2 linked regions of the Callithrix jacchus genome follow. The protein of the gene in region 2 interacts with the protein of the main gene of each other region in a biochemical or structural test. Links are inferred from orthologs where the notes say so. Each region holds a gene or a part of one and is shown on either strand. Other genes may lie near its edges.

What was found.
Region 1: the proteins of CD244 (region 2) and SH2D1A interact in a biophysical measurement, tested with the Homo sapiens proteins (2 studies listed by IntAct). The link is inferred for Callithrix jacchus from reciprocal best matches to the Homo sapiens genes CD244 and SH2D1A.

The regions. Positions count from the first base shown.
Region 1 is NC_133524.1:120,100,029-120,104,489, reverse strand, and holds the start of SH2D1A (SH2 domain-containing protein 1A), read right to left. Parts: upstream 2,888-4,461; 5' UTR 2,800-2,887; coding exon 2,663-2,799; intron 1-2,662.
Region 2 is NC_133519.1:20,771,329-20,775,893, forward strand, and holds the start of CD244 (natural killer cell receptor 2B4), read right to left. Parts: upstream 2,969-4,565; 5' UTR 2,779-2,968; coding exon 2,718-2,778; intron 1-2,717. UniProt on the Homo sapiens protein: Heterophilic receptor of the signaling lymphocytic activation molecule (SLAM) family; its ligand is CD48.

The sequences.
Region 1 (4,461 bases), on a different chromosome or scaffold from region 2:
ATAAAAGGTCAATTAAATATTCTTGGTTAATAGGAGTACACAAAAGAATGAGAAACTACTCTGAGTAAACCCTACAATCAATGCATGTTTATCAGCTATACCTTGTTGTCTATGTGCATATGACACCACTTCTATTGTTATTTTGACTGCATATCATAAGCAAAAGTGTTTTGTTTTAAAATTAGTACATGGTTTATTTCTAAACAAAATTTGATTTTATCATTACAGTGTAGCACCAAAAAGAGGAAATGAAATGTTTATGTTTATCAAAAAGGACTCTCAATTCAAAAACCTTGAGAAACTCTGATAAAAGGCAATGTATCCTTGTATCTTCCCTCTGCAGCACATTCTGGCTATCACTCTAACAGTCTCATAAGACTTTGAGGCCCCAGTGTACCATTTGAAAGACACCATAAGGGAACTCCCAATTTGCCCAGTATTTTCTGCTACTTTACAGGGAGGTTTTCATGGAGAACTAAGGGTCATAAAAACTGCATTTATGCAAGATTCACTTTGGGCAAAAAGTTAAATGCTTGAGAATTTCTCATCTGCCTAAGTTAATTCCTTATGTGGTTCTGGCCTACACAGGCAAAAGGCTAAAGTTGTCCTTCTGTCTTATATATTGTACTGAAGGCAATCTTTTGCAGAAGGTAAGATACACAATACTATTCCTGTTTTATAAATATGGAAAGTGAGACCCAGAGAATTTGAGTGACTTTCCCAGAGTCCACACCCTAACCCATCGATGTCCATTCAGTTTCTTACAGTAAAGAACAGAATTTGCCTTGACAGTGTGTTGATTCAAAAATATTTGCTGAGTGCCTATTATGTGTTTCTGTGTTCCTGGTGATGGAGACAATGTCTCTACCCTCATGGAGATTATATTTTTGCAGGAGCGTCCAGCAATAAGTAGGTAAGTAAGCAAGTTATCAGATAGTTTAAAGCTCTTTGAAGAAAAGTAGAGATGGAGCGAGTGTATCAGGGACAGGGAGAGAGCAGTTGTTCTAGGTAGTGGTCAAGCAAGTCCTCTCTGAGGGAGGAGACAGTTGAACAAACATGTGAACAATAAGTGCAGAAATCCTAAGTGGGGGCATTTTTTAGGAGCTTGAGAAATGGCCAGGAGCCCAGTGAGGCTGAAGCCTTAGGTGTATCTTGACTCTCACTATACCCTGTTGTCCCTCCTCTGCCCAGACTTGTTTTGTACTTTCTTTTTCACCTTTGGGTTAAGGAGCATGTTATCTCCTTTGTCAGCTTCCCTAAAGCAGTACCTTTCACCTGCCCACTGCACCTTCTTTCAATGAGAAAAGAGCCTAAGAATCCCAGCTGGTTTTCTTTGCCCTTCCCTAGGTTCCACATGGAAACAATAATGATATAAGCAAAACATAAAGATTCAAGCCCAAGACAATCAATAGCTTCCACGTATTTCCCTTGAAGCCTTTATGAAAAATGTATTTAGAGCATGATAGGAGAGCTGCAACAAACAAGGCTTGACCATTTTTAATAACCAATATACAGTGAAAATCCTCTAACACCAGCATCGGGATCATCTTTCTTCACTGACCCATAAGGTATTTCAAACTCTTGTAGTGTATCATCAGATGCTGAACTTACTACCAAGCATTTAACCTCATTTGGTTTCTGTCTAGAACCTACTATGCAGGGTTGTTGTTTTCATGGATTTTTTTATTCCGCTGACAATAATGCTTGAGCTAGCTAGGTACTTCCTTAGAAATGCCCCCATGATTCCTAAAAGAAATCAACTGAAAAGAGGAGATATAATAATAATAATATATCTTTAGTATTATTCAATGGATAAGAAAACTGGGGGACTGAAAGGTTAATTTGCCCAGGTCACAAGACTAACATCTGACTAGCGCAGGACTACATCTCAGATCTGCCTGACTCTGGAGCACTGGAGCAACGACACAGGTGAATTTGATTCAAAATGAAGCCTTAGACTGAGACATGCCTAGGCAAAGGGCAAAGCTGAATCATAACAAGGGTGTTTTCCCTCCATTCCCTTTAAGACTACTGTGAGTCCTAATGTTTATCAAGAAGGATCCTATTTCTGAAATCCCCTGCCCCACCCCTCACAGACACTACCTTTCTAAAGAATGCTACATCAGCAGATCCAGAGAGATGATTTTACTTTCACACATCCCCCTCCTCTCTCAGCATCTTGACCTAACTGGCATTGCATTCTTAAAGTAATTGACTGTTTCTTAATCTGCCTCCTCTCTCTGAATGTCATGCTCTTTCTTTGGGATGACACTTCAAAAGTCATTTAAAGAGAGCTAGAGTACGGAGCCACCCGATAGGAGTTAAAATGGAAGTTGGGAGCCTGGGTCTTTCTTGGAGCAAAGGTAAACTTTAGACCATATTTCACCACCCTAAAGGGCATTCTCTGCAGCTGCCCCAAAAGCCCCTGGTGAGGGCCTTCTGGAGAGCAGGAGGCCCAGGGAATGAAATCCCCAGCGAGGGACTCAGGCGAAAGTGTGTTCCCTCACGGCCCTGGACTAGACTTGAGGGTGGGTCATGAAGAAGGCCTCAGCAAGCTGCTAACGCCAGCACCCTTGCCCGCCTCAGCCTCTGCCCTGGCCTCAGCTGCCAGTGCCCACCATCCACATGCTCAGCAGGCCCCTGCCTGCCACAGAATACTCACAGCACACACAGGCAGTACACGCCTGGCACGCTCTCGCTGTCCCTCAGCAAATAGCTGCCATCCAGCCCAGTGGCGAGCAGGAGCTTCTCGCCGGTCTCCCTGCTGATTTTCCCGTGATACACAGCCACTGCATCCATGGCCTGGTGGACTCTCGGGCAGGCCGAGGAGGAGGATTGTACAAGGGAGATGCCGCTGCTACTGCAGCCAGGCACAGATCAACCACCTGACTCCCAGTTCAGCCAGATGTGCAAAAAAGAGAGAGGCACCCAAACAACAGGATGTTGTCTACTTGCCTTAAACCTCCTTCTCACACTTCAATTAAAACCAGCTCAGCAATTTAGTAGCTTGGTTTAATCGAGCTTGCCAAGGGCTTCCATCTCCTGCCCCCCAACACAGGGTTCTTACAGAGGGGAGGAAAATTAGAAGAAGGATTTTGCAAGATTTGAGCTGTACTGCCAACACACACCCTTGCACGCAGATAGGGATGCTTAGTAATGCTTCTGTTCTTGCAGATTACTCAGAGGCCACAAGGAATAACTTAGCTCAACCAGCCGGTAAGGAGTTGATGATAGAGGCAAGTTATACATGTCTCTGTCGGTATGTGGACCCATCATGTAGGGCAGAAACATACTGACAGAATGAAAGGACCAAAAGCTCTGAGAACAAAACACTAATAGTTTTATTAGTACTGTCATTATGCAATCATTACTGAACACGGCCATGAAGACTCCTACAGAATCAGACATAGCAGATGAACAGTGAACTTTGGGCAAGTTCTTTTTCTCCTTCTTCCTTCTACCTCATGCAGTCATCTTGAGAAGTCTTGGTCCTGACCAATATTGATTTCTTTCCTAACACCTTGTCCAAGGTCCCAAAGTGCTAGTTGAGATACAAAAGTCACAATGCACATCCAAAGATGTTCCAGATTTAAGTATTTGATGGGCTTTAGATGAGACAATGTAACATTTAACTGGTGATTTGTCTTAATGCAAATTTGTATGTGCCCTTTGGTGTATAAGGCCCACCTTTCAGCATTTTGTCCAAAAAATCTGTTTTAAATCATTTGCAAGCGTTGATAATTTTGTTGTAACTTTTATTGTCTGTTGTTTCTAAACAATGTTATTTCTTCGATTGATGCTAAACTGTCTTTAATATTTTAAAACCTTTCAACCTCCATTTTCTTCTCTGAAATAAAGCATTGCTTCTATTTCAAAATGTGCTAGGTAATATTTCCCCAAAACTTCTTGCATTTTCACTAGAGTAAGAATTTATTGCTGAAGCTGAATGGTCTTATACATGTACCTTTAGATTATGCAAAGTACTTGTAAAATTGGAATTAAAATAACTGAAGCTATGTGATCTATTATATGCTTTCTGCAACTTCAGCGTGTAGTTCTTTGAGAATATGGCAATGCTGGGAGCTCAATAGGGAGAGCAATACTTAATTCCTCACATGTCTTACCAATGGATTGCAGGTACAGAGCTGACTTGCACCAAAGGCAGATATTTGCTCTTCATCGACTAGGGTTAGGAAAAATCCTCTAAGATTTCAGTGATAGCTGGTAGCAACTTTTCTTCTTGATTGAAGAGTGCCCAGCCTTACTATGCAAAGTATAAACATAAATCTCCTACAGTCATTTTCAGCATTAAGATTTAATAAAAAAGCATTCAAGGTGATATTGGAGATGGCTCTGGGGAACTGGGCCGATATTTTCTTATCATCTTTCTTTCTCACATGTTTTTGACCAACTCTACTTCTTACCCTTTTTCATGCTTTGGATCAAGGGAGAAATTAATCT
Region 2 (4,565 bases):
AAAATTAGCTGGGAGTCATGGTGTGTACCTGTAGTCCCAGCTACTCAGGAGGCTGAGGCAGGAGAATTGCTTGAACCGGGGATCGGGGGCGGGGTGCGTGGAGGTTGTAGTGAGCCGGGATCAGACCTCTGCACTCCAGCCTGGGCGACAGAGCGAGACTCTGTCTCTAAAAAATAATAATAACGATAATGATATGAAATAAAAATGTATATGATAACCTGAATCATATGAGAGAACACCAAACCCAGATTAAGGAACCCTCTACAAAACAATTGGCTTATCCTCTATCGAGAATGCAGTATCATGAAAGATGAAGAAAAGCTGAAGTATGGTCACAGACTGGACATGAGAAACATAACAACTGAATGTGATACATGATCCTGATTGCATCTTGGGTCAGCAAAAAAATAAACTAAAATAAAGCATATTCTTGGGACCATGGGTAATAGGTGAATATGGGTGGCATATTTGATGGTATTAACGTTAAATTTACTAAATTTGATAATTGTGCTGTAGTAATGGTGAAACCCATCTCTAATAAAGATACAAAAATCAGCTGGGCATGGTGGTGCATGCCTGTAATCCCAGCTACTCAGGAGGCTGAGGTAGGAGAGTTGCCCGAACCCAGGAGGCGGAGGTTGCGGTGAGTCGAGATCGCGCCATTGCACTCCAGCCTGGGTAACAAGAGCGAAACTCCGTCTCAAAAAAAAAAAAAAAGAATGCCTTTGTTCATAGGATATAAGTGCTAAAATATTTAGGAGCAAAGGGGCATAAAGTCACAACTTATTCTTAAGTGGTTCAACAAAAATTATTATACACACATACGCATACAGCTAGAGAAAGAGAAATAAAGTAAATATGATAATGTGTTCCCTGGTGAATCTAGGTGAAAAAATTCAAGAATCCTTTGAACTATTTTTGCAGCTTCCCTGGAACTTCGCAATTATTTCAAACTAAAAGGTTTAAAAATTAAATAAATAGGGAGGCTTCAGTCAGCTTACACCAGGCCAGCCTCACAGACACAGGACAGAGGAGGAAGAACCTCAGGGAGACCCAAGTCCATCCCTCTCTGTGCCTGAGTTACTCACCAGCTTCACCCTACAAGGGCCAGCATAGCTAAGCCCAGATATGGCGCTGAAGACCTGGGAATGGGGCTGGAGGGAGCATTGCCCTCTGTCACACAGGCTCATAACCTCAGCTTCTCGGTCATGCTCATCCCCACAGCCAGGCACCAATCCCATCAGTCCTCCTTCAGCTCTCTGAACTGCTTTCAAGGCTCCTTAGACCAGATTCCAACCTAGCTCTCCTGCCCGGAATCCTGGGCCACTGGGTCCCCGCTGCCCACTCACAAGAGCTTCAGGCTCCACACCTCCCTCCCTGCTCCCTGTCTCTCATCAGGCTCTGCCCTAGGCTTCCTGTATCCTTACAAATGTCGAGTCCACCTGAGCCTTGACCACATCTTCCTGAAGGACACAAGAATGCTCAGGGACTCAGTAAGTGAACTGAGTACCTGGGCATGGAACTTTATTGCATATGGGGATTGTACCCAGCCCTGAACCCACACACTATGCCTCAGTTTCCCCTCTTTGTGCCCAGAGTGTACCCTCTTCTCACTCCACACTCTCCACCCCTGTGAAACCCCTTTAGAGTCACTGATCTAAAATGCAAGATCCCAGTCGGGCATGGTGGTTCACACCTGTAATCCTAGCAATTTGGGAGACCAAGGTAGGCAGATCACCTGAGGTCAGGAGTTCAAGACCAGCCTGGCCAACATGGTGAAACCTGGTCTCTACTAAAAATAAAAAAATTAGCCAAGCATGGCGGCACATGTCTGTAATCCCAGCTACTCAGGAGGCTGAGGTGTAAGAATTGCTTGAACCCAGGAGGTGGAGACTGCAGTGAGCCGAGATCATGCCACTGCACTCCAGCCTAGGAGACAGAGGGAGATTCCATCTCAAAATAAATTAATTAATTAATAAATTAAATTAAATGCGGGATTCAGGTTTCAGAGCATCCTGGACTCCAGGGCTGGAGAAAGAGAAGAGCAGCCCTCAGCTGGGATCCCCGGGAGTAAACATTCGATGGCTCCGTGCCTGGCTGACAGCTTTAGGTTTGCTGTGGAGCTTCCTCATATTGTCTCCTTCTCCGCCCCAAGCAAACAAGTCCCTAATAATTTCCAGGCTCCTGTGGCATCTAGGTGGCTGAAGAAACCGGGGAGCTGAAGGACCAGGCCATGCAGCTTCTTCCTGGCTGCTGGCCTCACCCTCTCCTCCTCGGGCTCAGCTCTCCTGCCTCAGGGATCCATCTGTCTGTCTCTGAGCTCCAGAACCACACAGCTTCCTTGGAACTGCTTCTCCTCTCTCATGCCACAATTGGAGGATGCAATTTTCTTCATCTTTATAGGCAACTGGAAGAAGGCTTGTCTCCCCACTACATGGAAAGGTAAATCGAAGCCAGTGGGAAGGAATCTCCTTACCCAAGACTTCCCGGATTGCAGGCAGCAGGGCAGGATGCCCCTCTCACAGATTTGCCAGTGTACTGCCAGCCTGTCCTGTCTGATTTAGAATGTCAGAGCTGTCAGGAGCTGCTCGGAGTCACAGTTCCAGATGACTGTGTATGTGGCACAAGCAGTGGCTCTGGCTCTGATCTCTCCGAGGGGCACAGTCCTTAGCCCATCATGTGAGTCCCCCACCCCATGCAAGGTAGGACCTCCTTACCTTTTCCCTGATACCCCTTGAGGAGCAGGAGGAGTGTGAGGGTGACCACTTGCCCCAGCATCCCCACAGGACAGCGGGACCAGGCCAGCCCCTCCACCCCACCAGACACTGTGCTGTGCACGGGCTCAGCAGCCCCCAGTCAGCAAGAGGACGATGGGGAGCAGTCCAGCCAGTTTCCTCAATTCGAGGCGTGAACACCTGCTGTGAGCTGACAAGGCCACTGAGAAAGCCCCAGCGCCTGGAGCTGGTCTGCTGGTTCCCACAGCCAAACTAGTGAAACTTACCTCAAGTGGGAGGGTGCTTGAAGCTCACAGTGACTCACAAAGCCAGTTTCAAAATCGCATCTCTTTCTCTGCTTCAGCCCAAGAAATGTTCCAATTCTCTGAATCCTACTGGAAATATGGAGACACCCATATGGGGGCCAAACAGCCAGCATCCCAGGCTGTTCCATTCCAACAGACGTTGTGGAGATGGAGTAAAGAGGGGCTGGAGAAGGAGTGGGCTGAGAAGCAGGATAAGTGGCTAACAATGTTGAAGGAGCGGAGTAGTAGCTGAGGAACAAAGGAGAGATCTAAGGGCTGGAGGCACCAGAAAAATCTAACAAGCCTGGGGATTCTATGCAAGTTGACACCACAGCTTAAGCACATCCAAATTAAATTTATTTCATAAGAATTTGTTTTGCACCTAGCTTGGTGGCTCACACCTGTAATCCCAGCACTTTGGGAGGCTGAGGCAGGCAAATCACTTGAGGTCAGGAGTTCAAGACCAGTCTGGCCAACATGATGAAACCCCATCTCCACTAAAAATACAAAAATTTGCCAGGCACAGTGGCATGTGTCTGCAATCCCAGTTAATTGGGAGGCCTAGGCAGGAGAATCACTTGAACCCATGAGGCAGAGGTTGCAGTGAACCAAGATCACCCCATTACACTCCAGCCTGGGCGACAGGGAGAGACCCCATCTCAAAAAAAAAATCTGTTTTGCTCCACATTTCCGATCTGTGTGTCTAGATTACCTCCCTTCCTCTTTTTCTACTTTTCCATGGTAGTTCTCTTTTCTCTCTTTTGCCTTCTCCCAAAAATGACATGGGTCTATTTTTGCTGCCTTTCCATCCATGTTTGGATGCGACCCTCCAGGGAAGGCCAGGCAGCTTTGGATCTGCTCAGGCCCCCATGAAGGGGTGGGGACAGCGGCTTCCCCGCCCCCCTGGAACATTGTGCTTCAAGGCCAGGCCACAGGGTTCATGCCTTTCTTTCTTCCTTCTGCTTTCCCCTTAATGACAAATACTTTCTGTTCCCTTCCAGTTCACCCTTCTTCCCTTTTTCCATGCTTTGATCCACTTTCAGCCACCCTGTCTGAACTGGGCAGGGGGCAGCAGACTGACAGCTTCCGCTGCCAATGGAGGCAGCAGCGGGGCTCTGGACAGAGCACTGGATTTAAAGTCAAAGACTTGGACTTCAGGCTCCCATTCAGCAACTTACAACCTTTGTGACTCTGGCCAAGTTACTCTCTGAGCCTGTAGGGTCAACAATACCTGCTCCCCACCTTCACAAGGTAGTTTTCAGTATCAAATTAAAAATGAAACTTGAGAATACGCATACAAAAAACAATGGACATAGGTGAGGTTTTGTGGTTTTGTTTTCATTTTTTTTTAAGCCCTGAGTAGCATTTTCCAGCTGGTCTAATGGTTATCATCTCTTCTCTCCTCTGTCTCCTTCCAAGGGCCAGCCCTCAACCCCGGGGAATTTCCTCAATGGGTCCCCAAGACCACCCATTTCTGAGACAAATTGTAAGTTTGAGTTGATCTGGCCATGTCCTTAACCTTGAGAAGTGGTGCACAAGACATAAT